Astyanax mexicanus: one gene and its partners. The protein of the gene in region 3 interacts with the protein of the main gene of each other region in a pairwise test. Links are inferred from orthologs where the notes say so. Each region holds a gene or a part of one and is shown on either strand. Other genes may lie near its edges. The genes, in order: fibronectin type III and SPRY domain-containing protein 2, tfcp2, cdc73 and heat shock factor 2-binding protein.

Region 1 (7,690 bases), on a different chromosome or scaffold from region 3:
GTGCGGTCAGTATGGCTGTGGATCAGAGCTCAGCTACCTGTCCTGAATTAGTTTGATGCTTCGGTTTGGGAGTTTGCGAAAATTAAATGAAAAACATATATAGGAGTAACCAGGATGCAAATTATACAGTGATAACGGGGGAGGATAAGTTGTTTTTCAGGTTGTGAGGGGAAACCAATCCAGTGCTTCTTTACTGTAAAGTCTGGAATACGTAAATGATAAATCCAATAAACCAGATGTATAATAATGATGTATCACATGCCACAACACAGTCCCACAAAAACACACACAGTTCTGTGGTTAATACCATGTACAATTTAGGCCTCACATCAATGTCAAAAGTTGCCAGGTAAAAAAAAGTTACCCTGCGTGTTTTAACATTTTGTGTGTGTAAATTTACTTCTCACAAGCACAAATGTAAAACGCAAAAAAAAGGAAATCTTAAGCTTCATTTTTCTCCAGTTGCGTGTTTTTTCCTCTTAAATTCAGTTGTCCTCGTGCACCATGCGAATTACCTGCGGCTGCTGTTTATGCTCGAGTGAACTATTCGCGCACATATTGAAAGGGGTGGTTTTGATAGTTTGGGGGCAGGGTCAGGAGAATGCTATTGGCTGATATCTCCAGGGTTTATGACGGACCGCCTACCTCCAAGAGCCGGAGGAGGGCGGAGAAAGATGGACAGCAGGAGAGATAGAGCTAGCTATGCTAACATCCAAACAACACGCTGTTTGCCCAGCTAGCTCTGACAGGGCTACAGCATTAGGAGCTATAGCTAAGGTGGAGTGAACAGCTCTGTTTACAGGGCCGCAGGTAGGGGGTTTATTCACGCAATCGCAGGCATAGTAGCGTCGCGGCCGTGAGGCTTATTCGCGCTGCCATGAAGAGACTGGAATCATGGAGGGCAGCCTCTACTTGTACTCGCGCGGTGGCATAGATAACATTTATCAGCCATGGGGCCGCTCGAGTCGGACGTTAAGCGAAGATTAAGCGTTAACTTTAATTAGCACTCAGTGCTACATCTTTATAACTAAGGATGTATCACTGAAAATATTTAGTCCTTTGAGTTTTAGAGCTGTAAAATAGACTGGGGGGGGGGGGGGGGGTAAGCAAATTAGAGGCAATATATTTGCATGTATGAATATTCATGAGCAAGAGCCAAATCTGGTCTTTCTTCAAAGACCTATAATTCAGTGATCTAAAGCAGGCTAAATAGAAACACCTGAGCACTATTTTTCACAAAAAATGGCTCACGTGGCATTTATTCAAACTAGAGACCACAACTAGACATTTTAAGATGACCTTTAAATCAAGGTGAAAACTTTTTTTGGCCAGGCAGTGTAATAAGAATATAAGTAATTGAGGATGCCAAAACTTAAACATAAATAAACTGAATGATGTTTTGTGTTTTTCTGTCTCTATTGTTGTACCCGTCACTCTGACCTTCATGTCCTGCACAGCGTCCGGCAGAGGGACTACCCTGTGGTGTGTGTGCTGTCCGGAGTGTGCCGGGGTCCCACAGTCACTGCAGTACATGTCCGAGGAAGCAGCAGGGTCAGAGGTCACAGGGCGCTTCCTGACCACCACAAACGCTTCTTCATCACCCTCAGCCTCTTCTTCCTCACTGACCGCCATCTCCTCCGCGATCGCCTGCAGGGGACCCCTCAGCCCATACACATCCATACTGCGCGCGCACACACACACACACACAGACACACACTGTCACTCTCTGTCACTGCAGATCAGATGTGTTCGGATCAGTTAATCACCGATTAGCTCAATTAATCTCAGATTAATCTCAGTTCTGCTCAGATAAATTCAAATTAAATAGAGTCAACTCAGTTCCGATGAGATTAGATAATCTCAGATCAGATGTGTTTTCACATTGTTTAATTTCAGATAAAATAAATTCATCACAGATTAGCTCAGTTAATCTCAGATTAGCTCAGTTCTGCTCAGATCAATTCAAATGAAATACGGTCAGCTCAGTTCAGATGAGATTAGATAATCTCAGATCAGATGTGTTTTCAAATCGGTTAATCTCAGATAAAATCAGTTCATCACAGATTATCTCAATTCTGCTCAGATAAATTTAAATCAAATACGGTCAGCTCAGATTAGATGAGATTAGATAATCTCAGATCAGATGTGTTCGAATCAGTTATTCTCAGATAAAATCAATTAATCACAGATTAGCTCAATTCATCTCAGATTACCTCAGTTCTGCGCAGATAAATTCAGATCAAATATTGTCAGCTCAGTTCAGATGAGATTAGATCGTCTCCGATCAGATGTGATTTAATTAGTTCATCTCAAATAAGATCAATTCATCTCAGATTAGCTCAGTTCTGCTCATTCTAAACCCGATCAAATAGGGTCAGCTCAGTTCAGATGAGATTAGATAATCTCAGATCAGACCAGTTCACCTCAGATCAGATAAAATGAGTATCTGTAATAAAATAATAATCATTTGTGTAGCTTATAATGAAGAAATCAATGAAGGACATAAGAAAAGAAAAAGTTTGTCTCCTTAATCCAAAGTAAATAATGAATGAGCTCAAAGGCTGTTGTTGTTGACCATCCCCTATTAAATAGTATGTTTAATGTAAGACATAAAAAACAGTTAAAGGCGTTAAAAACAATATTATTTGGACTGAATGGTGTTGTGAAATACTAATATATACATGCAAGATCACAAAGATCAACTGACATTTGTATGAATGCTACAAATTAGTAAAAAACAAACAAAGCAAAGAAAAGGGCAATAACTAATACAAAAGAAAAATCTAGTTTGAAGTAGCCATAATAACAATAACTCATGCATTTCACAAAACAGTACATGTGGACACAAGGCAGCCTCCTGCAATAAGATTTGACACCATGTCCTTTTACCTTTAAACATATTTTAATATTCAGTATTTAGTTAAATGCCTCAAACTTAACAAAGTTTAATTCAAAACAAGTCGTTGTGTCATATATTCAATGCAGTTTATTTTAAATGTATTCCCTTTTAAGCCCTGTTATAATCTATTTGGTTATATTCAATTACATATTTAATTTAGTACAGTTCTGATTAACTTTAAACTAACCTACATAAATAGATTAATAAAGGCTAATGTACATAAACTTCTCCTCACCTGCTCTGATTATCAGAGGCTTCTGTTTCCTTCAGAGCTTCTGCAGATCCGTGTCTCTCTCTCTCTCTCTCTCTCTCTCTCTCTACAGTGTTCCTGCAGACCAACACACCCTGACAGCAGCTCTTACCAAATATAGAGCGTGAAGGCATGCAGCTCTCTCAGATATCACCCCCTCCTCACCCATCCTGTTTACTCACACACACACACTGACACACACATACTTAAACACACATTGACACATACGCACTTGAAACATGATTACAACAAAAATTAAAACAGCTGCCTGGCTTAAACCACAAACACCTAAAAATATAGTATATTAATTAATGAACATTGTTTTTCTAGATTGGTTTGGATAGTTTTTTTCTTTAATAAAAAAATTACTTTAAATTAACTTATACACACACAGTTAGTTTCTCTGACTGTACTATTTATAGGTATATATTTGAGTAAAATGAAGATGAACCATGGACAAGTTAATTTATAAACAACAATGTTAATGTTTTAAGAGTTCAGAATTTAATGTTTGGTGGAATTACCCTTAATGTTTTTAATCACAACTTTCATGCATCTTGGCATGCTCTCCACAAGTCTTTCACACTGCTTTTGGGTGACCGTATTGCACTCCTGGTACAAAATCGAGTAGTTCAGCTTTGTTTGATGGCTCGTGACCAACTTACATCTTGCATGATAACATTCAGAGGTTTTTCAATGGGTTTCAGGTGTGAAGATTGACCTATAAAAAGAATGGCAAATGGCAGTTGGGGTGAAGTGCATGGAAATCTCTTAGAGGCAGAACTCTTCAATCATAAGCAAAGAAGAGTCAGGCTGACATTTGCAAAAGATGAGGACTGGTGCAAGGTCATCTTCTCTGATGAGTCCAATTTTCAGAGTTGCTCATACCCTGGCCACCAAATATTTATTTTCTGGGGATCATTAAGATGTTGTTGGTAAATGTGAGATGAGCCGTTGTGTTATATTTGGTCAGCAGTGTTTTCTGTCTTGGAACTCTCCAATGGAGATAATTTTTGTCCAGTCTCTTTCTTTTTATTGAATCATTAACTGACCTTAACTGAGGTGAGTGAGGTCTGCAGTTCTTTAAATGTTGTTCTGGGTTCTTTTGGGATCTCCTGGATGAGTTCTTCATGCCCTTTTGGAGTAATTTCGGTCGGCCGGCCACTCTTGGGAAGGTTCACCAGTGTTCCATGTTTTCTCCATTAGTGAATAATAGTGAATCACTGTGGTTCGTTGGAATCCCAAAGTACCCAAGTGATTTTGAAACCTTTTCAAAACTGACAGATGTTAATGACTCTGTTTTCTCATCTGTTTTTGAATTTCTTCATATCGGGGTATAATAATGTTCCTCTTTTTTGAGATCTTTTAGCTGCTTTATGTTGTCAGACAGGTACATGCAGCCCCTTAGTAGCAGTAATGCTAGCATAACTACTCTCTGAAATTCATTTGCTGTAGAAAAATGGAAATATACAGATGGGTTTTATTTGTTTTATTAGGAAAATACTTAATTCTACTTTCCATTATTACAGGAATATCCTGGTTACATTATATTTTCTATTTTTACTTTGAGTTTTTAGCTGTTTAGCTCCATTCACCCCCATTTATTGAGGGCTCTCTAGCGGGCTCCCTCTAGCGGTTGTCTGATATATCTGATATAGCAGGGGGGAGAGAGAGGAAGGGAGTGGAAGGGCTCCATAAACAAGAGAGGAGGCAGCTGACTGTGACGTAAACTTTTAAAACTCTCGTTGTTATCATAATTATTATGAATCATTATTCATTTATTATTATTATTATTATTATTATTATTATTATTATTATTAATGCTTTAGTTGTTAATAAAAAGTACTTTTTCTTTAAGTCTCACATTTCCTTCGATTTCGACACCGTGACGTCACTCTTCTTCAACATGGCCGCGTGCGGAGTGCAAAGTGACAACAACAGATAGCAGCGCGAGCGCTACATCCGCTTTATACCGATCATAACCCTCCTATAACCCTGTAAACCCTGTAAACCCCGGCTCTACCTGCTCCTCACTCTCCCCCAGGTGAGTTCATACCCCGCGCCAGCGTGTCCGAGAGAGAGAGAGAGAGAGAGAGAGAGGGAGAGAGAGAGGGAGAGACAGAGAGAGACAGAGAGAGAGAGAGAGAGAGCTGTTTCTGAGCGTGTTTTCATCTGTCAGCTTTCTCCGTCTATCTGTCTGTCTGCCTGTGTCTCTGTCTCTGTTTCTTTCATCTTTCATTAACCCTCTGTCTCTAGCTGTCTGTCTGCCTCTCTCTCTCTCTTTTTCTCTTTCTCTCCCTCTTTCCCTCCCCCTTTCCCTCTCCCTCTCTATCTTTCATCTCTCTTTCTTACTGCTGTGTGACTTTTTCTGTCTGTCTGTCGGTTTTTCTCTGTCAGTATCTGTCTCTCTCTGTTTCTGTCTCTTATCTGTCATAAATTCTCTTTCTCGCTGTTGTCTGACTCTTTCTGTCTGTCTCTCGCTGTCTGTCTGTGAGTCTCTCTCTCTCTGTCTCTTTCATCTATCATAATTTCACTTTCTGTCTGTCTCTCTTTTATTAATCTGTCATCATTTCTCTTTCTGTCTGTGACGCTTTCTGTCTGTCTGTCTCTCTCTCTCTCTCTCTCTCTCTCTCTCTCTATGTTTGTGTTGTTCTGCTTCTCTCTATGTCTGTCTGTCCCTATGTGTGTCTGTCTGTCTCTCTGCCAAACTGTCTCTCTTTGACTTTCTGTCTGTCTCTGCTTGTCTGCCTCTCTCTCTCTCTGTCTCTCTCTCTCTGCTTCTGTCTGTCTGTCTGTATGCATCTCTTTCTTTCTGTTTCTCTCTGCCTGTCTCTCTTTCTCTGACTGTCTACTGTTGACTTTCTGTCTGTCTCTGTCTGTCTTTGTCTGTCTGTCTCTCTCTCTCTCTCTCTCTCTGCTTCTCTCTTTCTATGTCTGTCTCTCTCTCTGCTTCTGTCTGTCTGTATGCATCTCTTTCTTTCTGTTTCTCTCTGCCTATCTCTTTTTCTCTGTCTGTCTCTCTGTCTCTGTTTCTCTCCCTCTAAGTGTTTTAAAAGTAAAAAAGTCTCACACGTTTACCCCCCCCCCCTCTCTCGCTCTCTCTCTCTCTCTGTCTGTCTCTCTCTCTCTCTCTTTCTCTCTCTCTCTCTCTCTCTCTCTCTGTCTCTTAGGATGAGCAGTGTGGAGGCTGAGCGGCAGGACAGTCTGGACGGCTGGGTGGCGGTGAGGAGTGATATTTTCTCCAGCAGGGAGTTTGTGAGGCTGGAGTTTTTGGTGCAGTGGAGTGATGTGGAGGGTCAGTTTGCGGTGACCTGTAGGAGCCGTGGGACAAAGTCCAGAGCCGGTCAGCAGGGTTGGGCCACCCTCTTGTCCGCTAATGACATTATACTGACCCACCAAACCCTGACCAGCACCGCCCAGGAGCTCCAACACTGCCTACCTGACATCAGCACGTTCAACACGGTCAGGAACCTGTGGGACATGCTGTTCACCCGGCCGGACGCCCTGCAGCTGCAGGAGGTACAGCAGGACCTCTACAGTACACTGCCAAGATTACAGATTACCATAGTGTAAAGTGGTGTGAAAACGTGTTTGCCCCTTTGTGATTTATTATTTTCTGCATGTTTGTCTCTCTTAAATGTTTTAGATCGTCAAACTAATTTAAATATTATTCAAAGACAATGCATGTAAACATAAAATGAAGTTTTTATTAATAAAGGTTTTTAATACTAAGGAAGAAAAATTTCAAACCTACATGGCCCTGTGTGAAAAAGTGTTTGCTACCTAAACCCAATAACTGGTTGTGCCAAGCTTAGCAGCAACAACTCAATCAATCAATCAGTTAATTAATTAATCAATTAAGTGTTTGCAAAAACTTAAAATAATTTCGCCATTGGAGGCTTTTCAAGTATGAACAGCCTTTTTAAGGTCACTAGACCTCTTCAAAGTCTTCATTTTGTTTTTCTTCAGCCATTCAGAGGTGCACTTGCTGGTGTGTTTTGGATCATTGTCCTGCTGCAGAACCCAAGTTCCTTTCAGCTTGAGGTCACGAACAGATGGTTGCACATTCTACTTCCGGACTTTTTGGTAGACAGGATAATTCATGGTTTCATTTATTACAGCATGTCTTCCAGGTCCTGAAGCAGCAAAACAGCCTAGACCATGCAGTTCATTGGATGTTGTCATTTGTGACCTCTTGGATGAGTTGTCACTGTGCTTTTGGGGTCATTTTGGTCGGCCGGTCACTCCTGGGAAGGTTCCACCTTTTTTTCATTTTTGGATAATGGCTCTCACTGTGGTTCACTGCAGTCCCAAAACTTTAGAAATGGCTTTATAACCTTTTCCAGACTGATTTCTGATTTGTTCATGGATTTCTTTGGATATTAGCTTTGTCAGGCAGGTTCTATTTAATGTTTTCTTGATTGAGAACCGGTGTGGCCAGAATTAGATCTGGATGTGGCTTGAGAAATTGAACCCAGGTGTGATCATTTCTCTAGCCACACCCAGGCGTGAATCCGGCCACACCGGTTCTCAATCAAGAA
Region 2 (7,520 bases), on a different chromosome or scaffold from region 3:
TTATGGTTTTACTGTATAACAGTATATATTCCTTTTTGTTATTATTATTATTATTATTATTATTATTATTATTATTATTATTAGATATTGACCCTTGAAATGAAAACAGGATATTTTAGTCGAATACAAACTTATGTCGTTCTTTTAAAACAGTTTATGTAAAATGTTTCTAATCTTAAAATAAATAAATAGAAATTTCAACAGGAAGTAAAGCTCTTTTTTTACTACTTTATTTCAAGCTAATTGTTATTTTTTAATTATGGATAACAGATTGATTGTCTGGTTTTTAAATTCTTTGTAAAATATGGTTGCATTTAAATATCAGTATTTAGTAAAGGTACATCATATTAGTGAATATGATAACCATCTATTTTCATACTACATACTGCAGCATACCCAACAATGAAACACCACAGATACTGTATGACTATCTGCATTTACTGATGTGTAAACACAACAAGAAAGATTTTTTTTTATTATTTAAACTTGTCAATCCATTTGTTACCAAACTACAGGTAATTAATTATACACAAAATTTTGAACTCTTATCCAGCACTCACTAAAATAACTGTTATAACTTGTCTCTGATTACTATGTAATTAAAATAAAATCAAAAGAGCTAAATAGCCACTCACACAGCTTTAAAATCAGTTGTATATATAAATAACCCCTCATATATAATCAGCACTAATGCAGTACCTCATACTGTAGGCTCCAGCTCCCAGCTCCTGCCCAATACCGGACAGACTGGCGTCGAAGTCCTGCACCAGCCCGGACTCGATCACCTCGTCAGCGAGGGGTAACTTCAAAGCCCACGCCATCGTCAAGCTTTCAGCTCTACCTCACGTCCGACTGACCACAGCCAACCGCACTGACCTCGATTACCTGCGACTGATTGGGCAGCTCACACACACCTGCGCGGGAGGAGGAGTTACAACAGGTTAAATACTACTGTCAGTCTCTAAACTAACTTTTTTTTTACAACCATCCCAAAGCTTTCTGTTAGTCGTCCCTAAACTGGAAAAAAAAATTGCCATTACTGTTGTATTTATTTATTTATGTGTTTTTCTACTAGCAATATATTTCTTAAAATATTTAACAATATTTTTTTTTTTTTTATATTGCCAGGCCCTAGTAAATAAATAGTTCATTTTTTATGTGAGCCATTTCAGCCTAAAATGACACCAAATGACACTAACTCACTGACGTTTTACTTGTAAAAACAAAAATAATCTAACTACAGACCTCTGTACTGCAGTTTTACATGTAAAAAACTCTTTTCAGATATCAATCATGAAATATTTACCAATTCTATATCAATTCTGAATAGTCCTATGTTAATATTGATTTACATCATTGCATTACTCTCTCTAATCTAGAATTACATTTAACTAGTTAAAACTTACTCTCCAGATTCCAGATTATTTAGTACTAATATAAACAGTGAATCCAGATATTTACACTACAATTTAACAAGATACAATATTTATCATATTTTTACACACAGAGAAAATGCATTAGTAGCGTCAGATAAAAAAAAAGCGAATTAAATAGTGTGATTTTATTCTAAATGTGCTAAACTTTATCCAAATAAACAGTGTGTGCGTTTGTTTGTCTACCCTGATAAAAAAAAAATAAAGTAGTACTACAAGTACTACAATGCTGTATCTGTACTCCACTAAAGTATTAACCTATGTAACACAGTGGTGTACTTTTACTTTCAGTGCTTGAATTGTACATTTCAGTATAAACTACCTGCACTAATTAAGTACAAAAATCTTGAGTACTTTAGTATGTCTACTTAAGTGCTGTACTTAAGGAACACTTCAACTTCTACTTTGTTTTGCATGTTACGTTGTATTTTAATCATCTGTTGTTGCATTTTGATTACTTTTTTATTTTATTACCTTCGTTGTTGTTTTTTTTACCTATGATTTATGATCCCTTTTTTACAAATTTATTTGATCTTCTGTGTTTTCTATCTTAATATATATATATTAATATATATATATATATATATATATATATATATATATATATATATATATAATATCTTGTTAAAATGCTGGGTCTTTTGTTCTCTTTGACAATCCCTACATACTATGTACTTCATTATACATGAGGGCAATACTATGGGTATGAGTATAAATGAGTTTAAATAAAGGTTGATTAGTTGATTGATCAGTCTTATTTAGGTTACAATTTTCACCTTATTTTAAATCATTTAAACTCATAATTAGCACAAAAGTTACTGGACAAGTAATTGTTATTAGTGTGTTCACTTGTACATATAATTGAGGCCTTATGTTTGGTTAAAGACAAAATAACCTACAAAAAAAACTAATGTTTTTGCTATACTCTTAAATATTCTGGTTTTAAACCAAAAAACAGTGATTTAATGTTTTGTTCACTTATTTTAAAATCTTACTAAGAAAAAGTTGCTTAAAATAAGCATATATGTTTTAATTTAAATAACAGCTAAGTTATATTTTCCCTATTTTTTCCAGTGTAGTGTTAACCTAACCTAGTTAGATAACTGCTGCTGTTATTTCCGTGGTGTTAAGACTCGCTGTAAAGTTAGTTAAACCCGAGTTTATGATCATTACACCGGTAACAGCAGCTACACAGAGCTGAGGACCTGGAGGATACAGAATATATGAATATAAAAAATCACATTAAATTAAATCCTTTAATTTAAACTCAAACTCAAACCAGCCAGCCTGCTCCTCTTAAACTTCAGCTCCTGCTCTAACATGGTCTCTGTGCTGCAGCTGAAGGAGTGATGGTGTTTATTTCTGTATATTAATGATAATAAACCCCTGTATTCTCCTGTACTCAGCCCGCTGTAAACCCCCGGCTCTGTGTCAGTCACTCACCCCGGGTTAGGAGCGGGTGTCGGGGCTGGAGCGGCGGCTGTTTCTCTCCATGGTTTTAATCCGTTTTTCGGCGGACTCTCTCTCTCTCAGCTCGTCTCTCTCCGGACAACACTCACCAAACTGTCAGATCGAGCTTTTAATACCGAAATAAGCCTCTAAACTCCCCCAATACCCGCGGAATAATATCTACTCCTCATAAATCACCCGAAACAGAGGGAAATAAGAGCGCAGCAGACCTTTAAGACAGAAAACTCCTGTTTGTTTATTTGCTCGATTCTCTAGATTTTAGGTATTGCTGTAATATCCGCAGCTCTCTTCCTCAGCGCGGGAGAGCAGCGCTGCAGCACTGCCCCCTGCAGCCCCGGAGCTTAAAGCAGCGCAGCGATAACAGGAGAAATTCTAAATTACAAGCACTGAGTACTGTGTATTATTTATAAGGGAGGAAACGTTATTTCCTCTCATATAATATAAGATATTATATCAAAATAACTCTCTATTTTTTCAACCTAACTGGCCTATTTAATATTTTAATTGTAGTATTTATTAATACTGTCTACATCTGAGCCAATCAGCTTTTAGTATAAGAATTATTCTATATCTCTCTGCAAGACACTCCAAAATATTACCATAATTAATTTAGAGATTAAAATAAAAAGAAATCAATTCATTCTCCATTTTATTTTTATAAAATATTATCTCTGGATTAAAAGAGCTATGATCTAATATTCAGTTTCTTCATGAGCATTAAGTTACAGAAAAGCAAGCCTTATTATTCTCCGGCCTGATTTAATTAACTCGTTCCTACGCATTAGTATCTCATTCCCATGCCTTAATTATCTAATTCCCAAGCATTTGTATCTCGTTCCCACACCTTACACATTTTTTTTTACATGATGTCACCTGAAAAAAATAAGAGATCACTTAATGATGATGTTTTTTCCTCGATTTCACCAAATTTAAAACCTCTTGAATATAATCAAGAGGAAGATGGATGATCACAAGCCATCAAACCACCAAACTGAACTGCTTGATTTTTTTGCACCAGGAGTGAGTAGCATAAAGTTATCCAAAAGCAGTGTATAAGACTGGTGGAGGAGAACATGCCAAGATACATGAAAACTATGATTAAAAACCAGGGTTATTCAACCAAATATTGATTTCTGAACTCTTAAATTCTTATGAATATGAACTTGTTTTCTATAATGCACATTTGAGGTCTAAAAGCTCTGCATCTTTTTTGTTATTTCAGCCATTTCTCATTTTCTGCAAATACATGTATAGATATAATATAATATATATATATATATATATATATATATATATATATATATATATATATATATATATATATAAAACCTTTTAGTAATCCTGATTTAAAACCATTTGGTCTGATTTAAGATCAGACAGTGAGAAAAAACTATATATCTATTTTTATATAGTGTATGTAAACTTCTGATTTCAAATGTATTTACATTTTGACATCACTGTCCCCTTACAGATAGATATATTTTTGAATGTATGATGTTTTTGAATGAAATGCACAGTATTTGTGACATTACAGAACAAGAACTATTGCAACTGTGTCTGATTTAAATGAGTTTATTGAGAGAAGTATTAAAAGTTACACAAAAGATGTATCCACTATGTCCATATAATTTACTTGGATTTCTCAGGTATGTCAGGCTTGTTATTCAAAAGACACTAAACAAATATTAATAATAATATTATTAAAAATTAGAATAATAATATACGTTTCTAAAACATAGCGTAAATGAAATATAATTAAATTGGACTGTAGTTATGTACAATGCAATGAAGCTGAAATCTTGATCAGTTCAACTTCAAATGGAGAAGCTTCTTCCAAAGAGTAAAAAAGACACAGAAATGAGCCCATTATGAATATCAGAAATTCATAACGGCATAGTTTTAAGACGAAACACAAACAAAACAAGAACACGCAACTTTACAAACTCCAAGCAGTTGCTTTTTGTCCTATGACCTTTACACCTTGTCGTGTCACCACACACAGGACTCTGTGGATATTTGTGGATAGTTAAATACATGCTGAATATTTACTGCACACACAAACATGTTAAGGCTTTGAGAAATAAACAGAAAAAAAATCAATGTTCTGAATCCCTTACGAAACGATTACACCTTTTATTAACAGTAACATAATAAAGTGTTGGTTTAAAGCCTCTGGGAAGCTATATGTGAGATTTGTTCAGGGTCCCAAGTGTAAATATACAAAGTATTTCTTATTAATATCTCATATTAAAAATGTTATGTATTTCACCACTATCACTCTCCTCTGGGTGTGATATGGGCGGGGCTAAAAGTGGGTCCATGGGAACCATGACCAATTCTAACCAAAGTTAACATAGCTCCGCCCTCTCTCTTCGAGTCTGAGCAACCAGAACTGGCAAGTTGGTGAGCTGTCGCTTACCAACCATCTTAGTGCATTGTGTGCATTGAGAGCTTAAATTGAACTTAAATAAACCTTCGTTCGCCAGTGATAGACAGCTGTCAGTCACGCACACTCATTAGAAAATTATGACTACGCCCACCCAGTTCTCAGAGAGGTGTAAAAAGTGCATTTTGATGATATATGAGGAGTGTTTTATCATATTCCTGCTTTGCATTTTCTATTTAAAATTTGCTAAATGTTTCACATAACCCCCAAGTTGAGGGTTACACAAAAAGTTAAATATATACACCTTATATATATATTACATAAAGTCTTCCCAGAGGCTTTTTTAACCCAGAAACAACATTAATCAAACTGTTCTTCAGCTAGCAACTTCACTTAAAGAAAGTTTATCCATATTCCCATTTTACATTACAGTATGTATGTCTTTATATGAGGCTGACTTTCACATTATAAAGATCATTTATGTAACGCAGACCTACCTAAGCTATTATTTTGGCAAGATTGTAGTTATAAAGTAACAGTAATCCATAGAAATTTAACTTCACATTTATCTCACTGCAGTTTTAACGATTTGTAAGATTTAGTAAATTCTCTATTTAAAACAATAGACCTATAGTGTGCACTGCCATATTAACCATATACATCTATCCAGCCCAATCAGAATACAGTGGATTCTGCCACTTCAGTAAAGGGCATACTCTGATAATCTGATCCACACAATACCATGATTGTCCAATATCACACACTGCTCACACACACCGCAGAAAGACAGACAGACGGACAATGACCATACAGGAGGATTGCAGGAGCTACCATAGAGCTGGAAAACAAAAATGTACAAAATACACTCATATGTTACATCACCAACAGTCTTTAACATCTGGAAGTGTAGACCTGATGTCAATCTCAGTCCTCGGCTGTAAATGATATTGCACAAGCAGATTATGATTATGAATAGTAGAAAACTGTAAATTTATATCAGAGATTGTGCTGTACTACTACTGATGTTGGTTAAATTTTTAATAGAACCATAACTAGGGGGCTTGTATATGGTGATGATTTATAAAAGTATTATTTACAGTATTATTGTAATGTTAAGGTATTTAAAAAGATGACCACAGTAACATAAATTTACAATTTACAGTTTACAGGCCTGTCACAATAATTACATACATTATAGACTTATTGTACAAATCATTTTTGCTGCCCTCAGTATTACTCAATGTGTTTACTTTATTGTGTCGTTTTATTCAGTCAAAAATGTTTATTAAGTAAATCAGCTCAGCTGCTACACTGACTTTGTTTTTTTATATTTATTTCATTTTTTTTTATTTATATTATATATTTCAATTCCAATGAATATTCCTAGTAATTAAAAGTCCATTGCTCCTAAAAAGCAAATGCAGTGTAAATGCATGAATTATTATGCTACAGCACTGCCAATATATTAGTGGCATAAAATGTCTTAAATCATTTCTACAACAATATATCTTCCAAAAACAACTTATCATGACAGGCCTATTTACATATTGAATTAAATCAAATTGCTCAATTTCTCACTGAAGCTTCATCAGTGGTCAATGTTTTAAATGAGAGTACCTCATGCAGAGTAATAAAAAAAAAAAATACAGAAAATTAGAGGAGCATATTTTGTACTACTCCGTCCATAGATCGACCATTCATGCATTTAAATCCATCATCAAGTCCATCAAACAGGAGCACTACCTTAGACACTCAAAACACACACACAAAAAGCACCATCTTTTTAAAGTTACAGTACAAAAGAACAGTTTAGGTCCGTTATTCCGTATTTTCAGTCTCGTATTGCACGCTAAACAGTTCAGAGTCTTCCCTTACTGCACCTGAAACACGTTGATCTTACTGGTGTTCTTCAGAGTCTGTCTGCGGTTACAGAACCACACTCTCACCACCTCCCGGTCGTAATTAAGCTCCTTGGCGATTTCGGTGATCTCCTGGCCGGTAGGAAGGGCGTTTTTCTCAAAGTAGGTGTTCAGAACCTCGATGGCCTGCGGGGTGAAGCTGGTGCGGCGCTTGCGTTTCTTGGATGGCTCCCCGCCGACAAACTCCATCAGGTTCTGCTGCCCCTTCTGATTCCAGAGCTCGGCCTCGGCCAGCCAACGCTCCAAAACAGGCTTCAGCTTCTGAGCACTCTTCGGCGTGATGTCAAGCTTTTCAAACCTGAGGGGTAAAAG
Region 3 (8,324 bases):
AATAAATTTGGACTCAAAATTAGAAGATTTCCTATTATAAAAACAAGGAACAATAATTGAACAACTTCACCTAAAGAGGGAAAAAAATGTAGAAAACAAAGCTACAAGTTTCTATATATTTTTTAAGTTTACCTCAAATCGTGGCTTTTTTGCTTCTGAAGAAACTTCATCTGCAGCTCGTTTGACTGTTCAGAAACACAAAGATAAAGAAAATCACAGTTAAACTCAAAGCCACATGTTCATATTCACACCAAAACCGAAATTATCTGTTATATATGCTTCCAAAGCAGATTAATATAATATACTGTATGCAGTCGTGACGTACCTTGTGTCGGCCTCTGTAGACCAATCTCAATGGGTGCACTTCTGTCGATACTCGTTGATGATGCTGTAAAACAAAAGAACAACAATTTAACATGTTTATTTCATTCACAGAGACCCTTCTTTACAGATTACCATAATATTAGCTGATTAAGAGTTTAATGTAGTAGTTGTTGATGGTGTATCACACTTACAGCTTTCTCCATTGAGATATGACAGCAGGTCTTTTCTGTCCGGTCTTCTGACCACAGGTATGTTCTCTGTCTGAATGTTAAAAAAAACAAACAATTCAAGAAATATTTATATAAAAAACTAAATTCTTATGATCTATACATAATGAAATTCTGATGCAATATAAAAGAACACTTGCCACATTCACATTATGTCAAAAATAGCAAAAAATAGTACATGTAGTGAATATTTTTGTTAAAAAGCTGATCTCGTTTCATTCAAGATTTATCCAGGCAACCTGTTTACCACCTAAACTTAAAGTCTGTAGACTCAGTCACTTACCGCAGCTCTGCGCACATAGGACGGGTGAGGAAGATGCACATTGTTGAGAAGGAAAAGAATGGAGTCCAAAGTGTAGTACTCCTTAGGCTGGCCTTCCTTTCCTGTTCTGTAAGAGAGATTTAAATACAAATAAAAAACACGTTGTTCAACTATCGCATAATACATAGTTAAGAGATTTTGTTTAAAACATGCAACTCATATTATACAGATGTATTACACACAGAGTGATCTATCTAAGCACTGATCTAAGCATTTATTTCCTTTATTGTTAAGAATTATGGTTGACAGCCAATGAAGAGCCAAAAATCAGTGTCTCATAAAATTATAGTATAATATAAGACCAATTGGTACGTTTGGCAGTGTGGGCAGTGTGCCTATTCCTGCTGGAAAATAAAATCCACATAAAAGTTGTTAGCACCATGAAGTGCGGAAAAACAAAACTGCACTGACTTTAGACTTGATAATAAAACACAGTGGATCAACACCAGCAGATGACATGTCTCTCCATCAAACCATCACTGATCATCAGTAAATTTTACAATTTTTTAAAAGAAATCAAGGGAGCAGAGTCTGGAGGAAGAGTGGAGAGACACACAGTCCAAACTGCTAGAGGTCTAGTGTGAAGTTTCCACCAATCAGTGATGGTTTGGAGAGACATGTCATCTGCTGGTGTTGATCCACTGGGTTCTATTAAAAGGAAGTTTCAAAATGCATAATTGTTGTAGTTAAGTTAAATAATCCTCCAGATTTTATTCGTTTGGTTGGCTAGCTAAACAGTATTTTAAAGTACACAGCTAGCTTTGTATGTCCTGGACACAACTCAAAACAAACAGCAAATAAACCAAATTAAGCAACCTAGCTTGTTAGCATGCTAGCTTACTAACTAGTGAACTCAAAGCAAGTTGGCTTTACTTGATACAGAACTCAGTAAAATTATTATAATTATACCTCAACGTGCAATACATAAATGTGTAATAGAGTTTTTCCATAATGTGAAACTGATGCAAATTAAATACTCTTCCAGATTTTCTCTCACATTTACTTTTCTCTTTTTCCGCGTGCTTTGATATCACTTTATTACTTAATTTTAACGCTACTTGCTAAACGTTGACGTTACACTCCACTATAACACACAACTCATGTAACGTTAGCCAGCTAATGGTTATTTTAAAGCTAGTTAGCGTTTTAAGTTCCGTATTCTGTGTGCTTTAGTATTTCTTTGCTGCTGTAACAGTGCAAATTCCCCCACTTTGGGACTAATAGAGGATTATTAAACATAACCAACTAACTTAACATAGCTAACAAATCTAACGTTGCTTGCTCAACGTTAAGTTACACTTCAGCATAACACACACACACACACAAAGACACACACACACACACACACACACACACACAACATATCTAGCGTTAGTTAATTAACGTTAGGTAACCTGGGTTAGCTAACAGTTAGCTAAGGAGTATTTTAAAGTACAAAGATAGCTTTTTATATCGTGGACACAACCCCAAACAAACAGCAAATAAAACACATTTACGTTAACTAGCTACCTTGTTAGCTAGCTTGCTAATTTGCTAGCTAAACAACTGGTTAACTCAAAGCTAGCTAGTTAACGTTAGCTGGCTGTCTTGAGAGTTAAGTGTTGCTATCGTTAGCTAGCTAAGGTAAGCTAAGCTAACTAGCCACCAGTCCAAAACATTCGCCTTAACCCTAAATTTAAGTCTCTCAAATCCGCAGGTAATCCTTAGACACACCTGAAGCTCGTAAACTTTAAACTCTCACACAGTTACCGAGCTCAATGCGCGGGCTGTGTATGTGTGTGTTTTTTAATCTGGTTAGCTGCAGGTGTCTAAACTAAGCTAAGCTAAGCTAACGTACACAACACAGCTGTGAGTTTGGTCAGTAAAGCCAGATACAGGCTCAGTCGAGCTCTTCTTACCCCCAGATCACATAGTTGGTTTTGACGTTTTTGGGCCATGAAAACTCTCCAAATATCACTTCCTCTCCTTTAGCGATGATCTCTTTCTTCTGGATGTTGTACTGCCGCAGCACGCTCAGCACGTCCGCCATCTTCACCCTCCGAACACACGGGCTTTTACTGGGAAGACCTGAACCGGAGGCGGGGGGCTATACGGAGCCCTGCTGCCCTCCCTGTCCGCGCTTAAACCCGCGCTCTCACCACATAAACTCCTCTGTTTTACACCTTATCAACACCTCAACTCTTTAAATCGTCCTTTTCTTATCTCCTCTGTGTGCGCTGTATTTTGTGTTTAAGCCCCAAAGTTACTAAACACACAGTGTGACTCGGGTAAGTGCCTGCGTGAGAAATAACCAGCTATAAAAAAGATATATAAATAAATATATAAATGCATATTTCAATGTAATTAGCTACAGTACTTCTGAATTAATACAACATAACAATAATACTAATAAAAATGATAATAATAATAATTATAATACTTTCCCTACACACACAATTGTATGCACAATTGCTCTAACGTTACTTATCGTGTGTGATGCAAATAAACATCTTCTAGAAGTTCCAATAATTACATAATTATTTATATCATAAAATTATATCAGAATTTAGTTATATCATATTTAATATGATATTTAAACTGTTGCTCTACAAATAATAATGCATTTCTGGACTTGTGGTGTGAACTTTTATTTTGACTTTTCACAACTTAACACAGGGTGTCTTTCGCAAGTGCCTGCTTGTAATAGTTTCCCCACAAAACTTTAGATATATAGTTTTGATGCATATTACTAATATATTATAACAACATAATAATAAAAACAATAATAATACATTCCCTACACTATGTATTTAGTAAATAGACTAAATTAAAACTACAGAACAGTTCTTCTGATGTAACTGAACATTGTCTAGAAGTTGCAATAATTATATAATATTTAATATGATTTTTAAACTTTTGTTGCTCTATATTTAATTCTACAATAATACATTTCTGAATTTGTGGTGTGAACTTTTATTTTGACTTTTCACAACTGAACACAGGGTGACTCCCGTAAATGCCTGCTTGTAATAGTTTCCCCACAAAACTTTAGATATACATCTTTAATGCATATTATTTATATATTATAACATACTTTTATTATTATTATTATTATTATTATTATTATTATTATTATTATTATTATTATTATTATTATTATTAATAATAATAATAATAATAATAATAATAATAATAATAATAATATCTACTCTGTATTAACACTTTTACAACTTTCATAATTTAAAACACTTAACTGAACATGATACTACTTTACTATATGAACCAAATAAACAAAAGCAAACGGCTCCAATAATCTGGGTTGTAATTTCTGAATTTTCAATTATTGATAAGCATTATCAGTTCATTTTATATTACGTTTATTGCACGCAATACATTGCATATGTTGTTTTTATCATACGTATTTTAAATCATATGCCATCTGCTAATGTTTACTGGAGGTGTCAGGGACTTTTATTTTAGAAATAAAGTTACTACACACAGTGCGACCTCAGTAAATGCCTGTTGGAAATCACTACAACCAGAGACTCTCTACAGAGGAGAGAATGCCCACCAGAGGGCGCTCTCAAGTGAGTTAAAAATGAATCTGTTAATATGGAGCAATTAAGCAATTAATGTACAGCTCTGTAAAAAAAATAAGAAATCACTTAAAAATTATGAGTATTTTTGATTTTACCAAATTGAAAACCTCTGGAATATAAATGAAGAGTTAGATGGATGATCACAAGCCAGCAAACCACCAAACTGACCTGCTTGAATTTTTGCACCAGGAGTAAAGCAGCATAAAGTTATCCAAAAGCAGTGTGTAAGACTGGTGGAGGAGAACATGCCTTTTTTATTATTTTAGTCATTACTCATTTCATGCAGATTAACGCTCTTAATGACAAAATTTTTATTTGGAATTTGGGATATTTTTTGTCTGTGTTTTTTTTTTAGCAAAATGTCCTAGAAAAAATATTTATTCGTTATTATTTTTAATTAAAGTTTTAAGCTGTTTACCCTATTTACCCCAATCATTGAGGACTTGACTTTATGTTTATTTGGGTTTAGTATTCTAATGTTATATAGAGTTAGTTACCGGTAGACACTCTCACTGACCACTGACTTTGGATAGGGATTTGTTTGGATTTATTCTATATTTCTCTTTATTCTACATTAAGCCTCTCTGCCTCCCTTTAAGATATGATAATGAAATATGTTCTGATTGGCTGTAATGTATTTTATTCAGAAAGCAATCTGAATGATTTGTTAATTTGTAATCTGATATTTTTTTGTGACATTGCGTAGTGGGTGAATTCCAAAAAACTGTATTTCCTTCCTTGTGAAATGTATTTTTAAATGAAAATGTAAATGTGTTTCAGGATACGGGCCCTTTAATAAATACAGATGACCCTCAGGATCTCGTGAATGCGTGTGATTCCAGACACGCACTGTGCTATGACTGGAAATTCTCTCCAGTTCTTCCTTCCAGAACTCTTCATTGTTTGTTTTTACAAAGAGTTTCCGAAACAGCGAAAAGAGGAATCTCGTCTGTCCAGCTATTGAAACAAGGCCACGGGTATTTAGTGATGGAACTTCCTTTCATTTTACCTCATGACTTTTTATACAGGATAACAAACTGTTAGCATTTTACAGTTACAAAAGCACTGTTTGCAGTTACTGTATTTACTGTATATGGTCTACAGGTTTACCTAAAGTAACCTGGGGGAATGACTACACACTGACAGTGAGGGGCAGAAACTAGGGGACACAATCAATCTGAAAATAGTTGGTGTCAGAAGTTGCCAATAGCAAAAGACTAAACTAAACTCTAAAATTAAAGTTATTATAAGTTGATTTAAGCCTCTATGGCATGAAATATATTTTTGATAATATTTTATGAGAAAGAAATGCTGATATGTTTGAGATCATGAGCAGATCCTTTTTTTCTCCAAACTTTAGTCTTTCCATCACACTGGTAAATGTTAATATTTGTTAATATCATAGTCTATAATCGGTCCACAGGCTTTAATACTAAATTTGTCTTTGTATTCACCTCATTAATACGACTTTTGTTCTTCTCTCTTCTGTGAGCAGTAGATTGTGATATCTTCACTTCTGCCCTCTGGATGTTGTTGCTGATGTCACTAAAAGTAGTTTTAGGGTTTTTCTTCACTTTACAGCTCTCACAACATTTCAGTTATCAGTTGCTGTGGTTTTCCTTGGTCTACCTGTTCGACATCTGTTACTCAGTAGACCAGTGACGACTTTCTTCTTCAGTACATTCTAAACTGTTGCACTGGTTATGAACAATATTTGTGCTTTAATGGCTCTGATTGATTTCCTATCTTCCTATCTTCTTATTGTTTGAATAATTAATTTATCATCAAAACACACCTGTGCAACAAAACACACCTATCAGTCACATGATCCATGATCCAATACTTTTGATCATAAGAAAAGTGGGTGGGTTCAGACAGAATTTGCTATAGTATCTTTTAAACTGTGTATCAGATCCAGACGTAAATCTCAGATGGAAATAAAAGCTGAAATGTGGGTCTTCTGTCTAATATTCATCTTTTAATGTCAAATTAAATTTTTTGTTTCCTTCTACAGCAGAAATAATAGAATTGACTGCAGGTATTTAGGGCAATATGTCTTCTATTTCTTGGTATAAAAGATGAATAGATATAAGTGTGTGGATATGGAGCGTAACTAAGAGAGATCTCAGAGACATGAATGAGTTTTTGAGCTTTCTCTAGGTGGCAGCAACCCACCATGGACAGATTCCTCAACTCTTTTCTCTCCTCAACTCTTTTACTTTTCTGTTCAATTTTTACGCAAAATGATCATAAAAGCTTTAAATTATAGTAAAATTCATTTTCATTCATTCTTACTGTTTTATTTCTTTCATTTCTTTTACAAACTCCGTTCCTAAAGCTCTGTAAGAGAATCAGCTTCTATTTAATTACCATCCACCCCAATCAAACTCAGACTTGTTTACAGTGATGGTAAACAGAACCAGACGTCTGAACTTCTAAAAGGTTCCTCACAGAAAGGGGTTTTAAATGGGTTTAAACTGTATAAAGTTTTGAGAACATTTTGGGTTTTAAAAACTGGAGTAAAACTTAAGTTTAAATGCATCTCTATAAAAAACGTGTGTGTGTTTTACAGAAATTAGTGTAAAAATTCGTTAAATTTATTTATACTGAATATCATTGCTGTCCAATAAAAAAAGTATCTCTATTTTTGTTGATTTTTAGTTTACTTCATAATTTGAACAAACGAACTGTCCCTTACGTTGTGCCAAAATTTCTTGATGAACAAATGAATAGAAATGCTTCCAAATTACATTTTTACATTGATTTACAATGTTTTTTTCTCTCTCTTATAAAGTTGCTGTTTTGGAGATACTTGTTTTTAATTGGATAGTGACAAAGATATGTGTCAAGAACTTCAAAATCCAAAATTGTCTGGCTTTCAAAAGAAAATTTATAATTAAAATATATATACAGTTTTTTAGTACAGTGATACAGAATACCGAATTTACCTTTAGTTGCTGGTTTAATAGTATAAATCTGTACTTCTTACTGTTAGGAAAGACTTTGTACTGCAGAGGAAGCAAAATTAACCCTTTAAAAAACAATATTATGCCTTTGAGGTAATGAAACAATTATGAAATCTCATAATGTTTCTGTCATCAATTGCTGTGGTTTTCCTTGACATCTGTTACTTAGTACACCAGTGACGACTTTCTTCTTCAGTAAAGTGAGTACAAGAACACTTTGAGTACAAGAAAGTACTTATATCATACCTTTTTAGTTTTTTAGTGTGTTCTGCTGACTATCCTTCATACCAAGTGAAGATTATTTGGACTAAAAAGTTCTATACACCTATCTCTAATGCAATTATCACTTAAATAAGCATTAATTAAAGTAGAGTCATACTAGAGATACATAACAAAGAGTGGTGTCAATATTAACATGTATGTGATTAATCTGAAAACGTTATTGCTATAAATACTTACTGTGTATTACAATGTGTGTGACAAAATAAAAAAATTGCAGATAAAAAAATATATAATTGCAGATTAAGAGTTCAGACATGTAGCACTAATTTGTTTCATTTCAGGCTCACATCTAGATGTAAATTGACACCATTTATGAAAATGATTTTTTTTGGCCATTCTAAAAACTGGAATGTTTGTGTGAAGGTTTTTTTTGTAGGTTTTCTGTAATTTCTCCACTTTTTATTATTGTATGTGGATCATTCCATTCCCTTTCTGTCCCCAGGAAATTACATGTATATATGTGCACACAAAATAACTTTAAAATACGTTTTATAATTAAGCATAATGTCTTGTGCATTGACCTTATTGCAAAAGTAAGATATGTAATACCAACAAAGCACAATATGACTGGAAACATGTGAGTCATTGCTTGGTTATGGTTATTTATTCTGTCTTGTCCCTTTGT
Region 4 (7,828 bases), on a different chromosome or scaffold from region 3:
TATACAATTTTGCCTGTGGGTGGTGCTACTGTCTAAGTGCTGGATAATAGAAAATAGGTTATTTTTAGGCCCTGCAGATTTATTCCACGGTGACCATGTGATTATTACCCGTGGCTGAGAGCTCAAGAGAGTATGCTTTCTCTGGGAGGCTCTTCCACTTCAACCTTCAGTCATAACAGTGATAGCCAGTATGGGTATCTGTTAGCTGACATAACAAGCGTTCACCTCCAAGTGTGTAAAATTTCCAAAGACCATACTTTAGCAGTTATAAAAGTTGGTTGGCTTACTTTACCTGTCTCAGAGAGAGCATGTGCTAGCATATTCCCATCCCAGCAATGATAACATCAATACTAAGGCTGCCTATGATTAGTTATTGCCTACACAGACAGCTCATTTGATTACTGCAGAATTTAATACATAATCTCCTTTGGTGTTGTGTTAAAGCTGCAGTCATTTTCCTTTTAATTTGATAGTACTAATGTTTCAGAGTGCGTAGAGGGAAAATATTATAACAAAGGGTATCAACGTGCTTCTGCTACCTTTTTCTGCAAAGGAACATATTAATTAAAAACATATTCATTTTAAAAATAGGGTGTCTGGTAGGTCCCATGACCTTATTTTGGTTAAAACAGCTTTTGTTGCTGGTGTGGTGGAGTGTAAGGGGATGTTTTCTGGGCTCACGTTTTTTGTCTAGGATCTGGGCTTTATGCAGGGCGACCATGATTTCACTGTTAATAACTTTGGGCAGGAACTCTCTGAGTTGCATGACCTCTGTGGACAGTCTTTCCAAGTCCCGTTTTCTCACGCTGACAAAACAGTCGCCTCCTGCATCCTACAAAAAGAGAATTTTTCTTGACGGTTCAGGTTCCACAATACAATTTTTCAAGTCTCAAGCAAGTGTGTTAAGTCTTAATATTAAACAAGGCTGACCTCTAGTGACAACGTTTACACTAACTGCAACAAATACAACATTTATCAGTTAATAATTACAGTTTGGACACATATGTTAACATAAAATTCTATAATTACAATTATAGGGATTTCAAATAAACGTAATTTTTATTACATGTTGTCGTCATCTATCGAATGAAATGTATAAATATTTGAATATAATGATGATTGAGCACAGGCAATTACACTATTTAACACCATACCATTAGGGATGCACAATGATTTTAGGATTATATCGATATAAGCTGATCACCTTTTTTTACGATCATTGCCATTGACTGATTGGGAAATATTTCAAACCGATAATGAAACCAACTCATTTATTGTATGCCGAAACAAGCATCACTGTCCACACTACTTTAATTGAGCAACAATGGCTGTGCTACTTAAAAAATAATTGATTTAAGCTTTTTGTTATTTTTAGTAGTTTTAAATTTATGAAGTTATATCACTGTCTCCCATACCATACAACACCATACCATACCATATTTTTGTTGTTGTTTTTTTATGTAACATTAAAAAGGAATATCTACGCCAACATAATGAGGCGTTCAATTGGGTCATTAATAAAAATATACAAAAATATGTGCAAGAATAAGTATTTTGATAGTAAACAAGCTTTTTATTTGGATCGCCGGTGCTTCATCATGATGTCCCTAACAAAAGCGATTTACATGATGTTGCCCTAAAAAACTCATTTAAAAAACTTGTTTCAGTGAGTTTACAACAATAATCTAAGACAATTTATACAGAACAGGCCGAAAGTTTGGACACACCTTCTCACTCAATGCGTTTTCTTTATTTTCATGACTATTTACATTGTAGATTCTCACTGAAGTCATCAAAACTATCAAGGAACACATGTGGAGTTTTATGTACTTAACAAAAAATGAACCGGCCTCCTCAGTTACTGGACCTCAACCCAATCAAGATGGACCACAGAGTGAAGGCAAAGGGGCCAACAAGTGCTAAACACCTCTGGGAACTCCTTCAAGATTGTTGAAAATCCATTTCAGGTGACCACCTCTCGAAGCTCATTGAGAGAATGATGCCAAGAGTGTGCAAAGCAGTAATCAGAGCAGAGGGTGGGCACCACTCTGGATCTGCCATCTGGGAGACACACAGCTGGGTTGGTGGCCTTTGGGCTATTTTAGCTCTGTGGGTGGATGGTTTTAGCTCTCCTAGTCTTGTTGAAGACTGTAAGTGAGTGGCAAGCCTGTTAAATAAAAGAGCTTATGAGCGTTCATCATGAGTCTCACGGGTCTTCCTTCCTCTTCCACGCCACAATATATATTAAGTTATTTCACCTTTTTTGTTAGGTACATAACTCCACATGTGTTCATTCATAGTTTTGATGCCTTCAGTGAGAATCTACAACGTAAATAGTCATGAAAATAAAGAAAACGCATTGAAAAAGAGGTGTGTCCAAACTTTTGGCCTGTATTGTACTTTATATTTATTTTATATTTTTACTATATTCTTAAATTATTACATATTAAATGTACTAAAACAAGTCTTTTTTATTTGTTGAACTAGGGCAACATTATGTAGATTGCTTTTGTTAGGAGAATAATGATAAATCAGTTTTGATTCAAACAATCAGCTTGTTAACAAAATAAAACAAATGTCAAAGAAAAAAATATTTTTATAATTCATGCCATAGAGGGTCAATAATATTGTTTTGTATTTTCATTATTTGCCTTTACTGTGATAGCTAGTTAACCTAACTTAGCTATCTTAGCTAACTAGCTATGCTGACTTCATCAGCTGTCAAGATAGCCTAAGTGATATAAAAGTTAGCTATCTAGCAAGTAAATTTACATAACACCTTCAATTTTATCTGTTTCTTTACATTTAAATATTCTGTTTGTATATACTTGTTTAGCTTTATTGAAGACTGAAGTGTGCAGTATTTAACACTCGTTAATCTCAGTATAAAATCACTTAATCTCATTATAAAGTCGCTAGCTAACCTAGCTAACTAACTTATCTGCAAACATTATCATTAGCTTATATTTTCTCAAATTAGCTTTAAAAAGAACCAATAGAAATATGTGTTGTTAACTAGGTTACCTCTCTTGTGGAGCTCAAAGGCGAAGATTTAATCGACTCTACTGCGTTCATATTCAGCTACAAATATAACGTTATTTAACCATACAACTCAACTAGCAAGATAAGCAAACTAGCCTAGCATAGGAAAGCTAACGCTAGCTAGAGGAGTTATAGAGCTAGCAGTGGGCAAGCGACACACATAACCTGAAGAGAAAAACTGTTAAATTTATAAACTGAGCGCCTCTGAGAGACTGAAGCTGAGGAGGAAGACTATAGAGGTCTGTGGCTCCCTCTGCTGGAACTTTTCCTTAGCTTTCTGCTGGTTTTATAAAGAGCTGAACAACTTTATAATTAAATACAGAGAAAATATAAAGCTTATCTGTAGACTTGTGGTTAATGGTGGCTTATACACTCTGTACATACCGATAAACATCAATATTAATCGATATGTTGCTCACACAGCAGTTTTTAGGGTATACATCACAACAAGGACACTGATAGCATGAATATGTTTGCTATGAAAAGTCCCTAGCTTTTAAAATACAACTGCAATATGTTAATATATATATATATATATATATATATATATATATATATATATATATATATATATATATATATATATATATATATGAAAAGTGGCTAATATTCATATGATAGAAAATAAAGACTTAAAATATACATGGACATGGCATTGTCATGGTACACTCATGGCAAAGTTATGTGAATAACTGTAGATGGAGCAAGGTCTGATAGTGGGTGCCAGATGGATGACGGAACATTACATTTCCAAAGTTGTCCAGACATTTAACATTCCTTGATCCACAGTAGTAATTCCTGCCCATTTAATGTCCATGTCATGTTGGTGTATTAAGGCCAAAAAAAATGTATTTAGTTCACAAGAATATATATATTATGGCCTTGGGACAATATTTTTACACCACAAAACCATGAATTCTTAGTAGTGAGAAGTAAAATCTTACTTAAATTACAAAGAAAATAACTGACATTACAGAGCATTCTATTCTCAATTTCTCCATTTTACAATGCTTCTGCTCACATTGTAAAATCTCACTCAGACAGAAGGACTGCCATCCTGAGATTAAATGGTGATTAAATGGCGTGGGGTGTAATCAGGTTACAGACACAGGTTAAAACAAAGCTTAAAACGTCACATTTCAAGGAAACCTAATCACTTGGAATTAATTGTTTCGTGATGTCATTAGAAAAGGTTATACATACCACTCCTAAAGGCACCATTTGTATCTTATACCTTTTTGTGTACTTCTAGTTGGATTATCTAATTCTGGTGGTAGACATGTGTAGTAGGTATCAATGCTGCCTTGACTGTGGCAAATGTAAAAATCACAATGTTCTCATTTCAATGCTATAGAAAAAGTTATGACTAGCTAATTCTGTGATTAGACAAGTCAGTCTTGTAAATGGGTGTGTAATGCCACATCTGAGCATTTTGTGGCTTTAAAAAAAATCACATAACCTCTATATGTACATCAGAGAACAATTTAAAATACAGATTAAATCATTGTATTGCATTTGCTGGCGAGTGAAATAAATATCTTATTGTTTTTAGGGCAATACTGATTATGGAGGCATAAATAGCTGCGTTTTAATGCCAAGGCGGTATTACTCAGCCAGCAACATAGAAGGTTGTTCCAAAGTGAAAGACCCTCCTTGTACTGCCGTGAAATGCAACCAATGTTCAGAGGTCCAATCTGGGGTAAAAACAAAAAACAAAACAGCTTTTGTAACATTTCTCTGTAATTTTTCTTTTCTATCAAGCACCACTTTTTTTAAACAGAAACTTTTATAAAAAAGAGATACTTTTCTGTGGGCCCTATAACACCCAAATGACACACACTGATAGCAAGGGACATTAAATAAACATTCATTTCTTGGTTACATTATATCCTTTAAGACTGATTATGGAAAAATTGTCTTATGGGAATTATTTAGTGTTGAAATTCTGATATTGAATTTATATTTATTTAAAGGTTAAGAAAGGTTTGATCTCTAAATCTACAGTGTTGTTAGGTGAAAATGGCTTCCCACAAATAATAACAGTGATATTAATAGTTATAATTTGAATGACCCACACTGCAATACCATAGTACAGATTATAAGAATTAAAATATACACACTGGCGGTTCTAGAGGCGGGACCACAGGGGCACTGGCCCCAACTGAAATCTGATTGGCCCCTTGAAGTACCCTTGTCCCGTCACTCACGATTTGCCCTTTGCCCGAAAGCAATGATCAGAAAATAGGCGGATGCAATTCCATGTCCAAACACTAGAGGCGCTAATGTCCCCAATGAATGAATGGGAATGTCTACTGTGTTAAATCTTATGTATGAGAGATGTTTTGAAACGGCTGTATTTGTGAAAAAGTAAAAAGGTTTTTAAAAATGTAAAGTGAAAATGCATGTAAATGTGTGAAAGAGGTTTTAATGTAGTTAATTTTGTGCCAAAAGTTTAAAACACAAAAAAATCTGCCATCAAAATTACAGATTAAATACATATAAAATCCACAAAATCACAAACATGAAAGCAAAGACTGGTAAAATCCAAACGAAAATATTTTTTAAACAACTGCAAAGAATAATAAAGTTACCAACTATCTTTAAGTATATATTTTTTTCTTCTTTGAATTTGCAGCATGCACTTTTTCCTTGTTAATAAATCAAAATTGCTTGATTGATTGATTGCAGAGTTTAGTTTTTGTGTAAAACTTTTGGCACAAATTAACTTTTACTGTTTTTTTTATTTATTTCTAATTTATTCCCATTTTCTCCAAATTTACACAGCCAATTATGCAACCCACTAAGTAGGACTCCACCTATCACTAGTTTTTCCCACCACCAGGAGAGTGAAGACTAGTACATGCCTCCTTCAACACATGTGAAGTCAGCCACCGCATCTTTTTGAACTACTGTTGATGCAGCATTTCCGAGTAGCATCACAGCGTGCTTGGAAGAAAAGCACAGTGACATGGTTCTGATACATCAGCTCACAGACTCCTTGTACTGCAGCCATCACCCTTTGGAGTGATGTGGGGAAAGAGCACCATCTACCCACCAGGAGAGAGCAAGACCAATTGTGCTCTCTCTTCGAATTGGTGATCTCCTGATCATATAGATTTTACTGTGTAAACATTTTTGAATAACATTCAAGTGTTTGAACATGGTGTGACTGGTGAAATAATACTTGCCCTTTTTTAGACAAATTCTAGATCCAACACTGGATATACATATTTAATGTGAATATTTTTTTGCTATCTCAGCTATTTCATACCCTACTAGAGTGTAGTGCACTACCAAATCCGTATCCATACTTTACTCCATGTCTGCTTTTAGGACCAGCTGATACAGAATCCGTTAAGCGAACTTAAAACTCCGGTCCGGGTTTTGTCTTCCGCCACTCAAGTTATACTTTCAAGGCGTGTGGATGTCTGTGTGTGAGTCTCCTTGTGTGTTTGGGTTGATGCGCGTGTATTTAAGTAGGTAGCTATGTTGTATTAGTCTTTTGTGTGTTAGCCAGGTGTCCTCTGAGTCCACGCCTCGCCGCGGCGTGCTCAGCAAGGCTCCGTTTCTCTGTTTAAATTCAACGGCGCACAGTTTAGCCCCTCAGCCGGCCATGTCTGTGGGCGTCGAGTCCGGATTCTCCAACGACGAGCTGCTCCACATTCGCTTCCCGCTGCACCGCGCCTGTAGGGACGGTGATGTGGGCGCGCTGTGCTCGCTGCTCCAGCAGTGCTCGGCCAGCAGAGCGGACCTAGCCGCCGAGGACTCTTTCTACGGCTGGACGCCCATTCACTGGGCGGCTCACTTCGGAAAGGTAGGTTAACGCTAACGTGAATAATATATATTCTAGCTAATGTTGAACTACAACAAATAACGGTATTATTTTAACTATTTTTTTTAATGTGGCTGAATTTAAACTTGGCGAATTATTTTTTCCCTCCACGGTCATTTTTTGACGAGGCCCCTGCGCGTAAAGAGAGCTCAGATAATCTGAGCTACGTGCGGGTTTACATGCTAACCTAACCTAGCCTAGCTAACCTAGGATAGGTTAGTGCTCGAGCATCAGTTACTAGAAAAAACCCAGAATTTTAAAATGAGCTAGCTAAAAGTTAGCTATAATTGTTTGCAAACACTAAACCATCATAGCTGGTTAATTAGCTAGGTTAAGTATAATGTTTTTGTGCTGGGGTGCAAAAATAAACCTGATAAATCTGTTGAAGTGTTTGTAGATAAGTTAGTGTATCGTTATTTTCAAGTTCACCTCGAAAACTCAAGTTAACTTACTTTGCGACTTTTAAGCTTGTAAAATAAGTAAATAAGCAAGTAAATAAGCATTTCTTATCGGAAACAAAATAACAGCTACCTGAACACCTTTTGTATTTTTTTCTTTTTTGTTTTGTTTTCTGTTGCCAACATTTCTAGCTAGGTAACGTAAGATAACAAAGAGCAACGTTTAAGCAATAGGTAAAAGGAATGTTTTTTTTTCATATATGGATTGTGATTAACCATTTATTTTGACACGCCCCCCAACTCGTAGCCCCTCGTAGTAAATACACAGTTTGTCTTGCCGTTCACGTACACGATATTTCCTAATATTTTTTTAAAGCGGCATAACACACATTACAGTTTGCACTGAGGATTCAGATCAGCAAATCAACTGAAAAAGACCGGACAGCACAGCCGCGCGCTCAGTCTCCAGGTACGAGCGCGCAAAACCAAAGCCAGCCGTTCATTGGCTGAGCCGCGACCAATAGAAGTCGAGGCGCCAAAACTGTGGTTTAAAAAT

The links.
Region 1: the proteins of cdc73 (region 3) and fibronectin type III and SPRY domain-containing protein 2 interact in binary tests that used the Homo sapiens proteins (3 or more experiments, as listed by UniProt). The two-hybrid records come from large-scale screens. The link is inferred for Astyanax mexicanus from reciprocal best matches to the Homo sapiens genes CDC73 and FSD2.
Region 2: the proteins of cdc73 (region 3) and tfcp2 interact in binary tests that used the Homo sapiens proteins (3 or more experiments, as listed by UniProt). The two-hybrid records come from large-scale screens. The link is inferred for Astyanax mexicanus from reciprocal best matches to the Homo sapiens genes CDC73 and TFCP2.
Region 4: the proteins of cdc73 (region 3) and heat shock factor 2-binding protein interact in binary tests that used the Homo sapiens proteins (3 or more experiments, as listed by UniProt). The link is inferred for Astyanax mexicanus from reciprocal best matches to the Homo sapiens genes CDC73 and HSF2BP.

What each region holds. Positions count from the first base shown.
Region 1 is NC_064416.1:45,102,845-45,110,534, forward strand, and holds the start of fibronectin type III and SPRY domain-containing protein 2, read right to left. Parts: upstream 3,238-7,690; 5' UTR 3,135-3,237; intron 1,682-3,134; 5' UTR 1,681-1,681; coding exon 1,441-1,680; intron 1-1,440. Other genes in the region: WASP homolog-associated protein with actin, membranes and microtubules, read left to right, coding at 6,321-6,668.
Region 2 is NC_064420.1:6,043,822-6,051,341, forward strand, and holds the start of tfcp2 (transcription factor CP2), read right to left. Parts: upstream 3,211-7,520; 5' UTR 2,877-3,210; intron 915-2,876; 5' UTR 822-914; coding exon 700-821; intron 1-699. Other genes in the region: pou6f1 (POU domain, class 6, transcription factor 1), read right to left, coding at 7,161-7,506.
Region 3 is NC_064415.1:57,793,539-57,801,862, forward strand, and holds the start of cdc73 (parafibromin), read right to left. Parts: upstream 3,136-8,324; 5' UTR 2,903-3,135; coding exon 2,772-2,902; intron 941-2,771; coding exon 835-940; intron 586-834; coding exon 516-585; intron 389-515; coding exon 326-388; intron 186-325; coding exon 133-185; intron 1-132.
Region 4 is NC_064428.1:21,664,583-21,672,410, forward strand, and holds the start of heat shock factor 2-binding protein, read right to left. Parts: upstream 3,402-7,828; 5' UTR 3,076-3,401; coding exon 3,025-3,075; intron 833-3,024; coding exon 682-832; intron 1-681. Other genes in the region: ankrd10a (ankyrin repeat domain-containing protein 10a), read left to right, coding at 6,656-6,856. UniProt on the Homo sapiens protein: Meiotic recombination factor component of recombination bridges involved in meiotic double-strand break repair.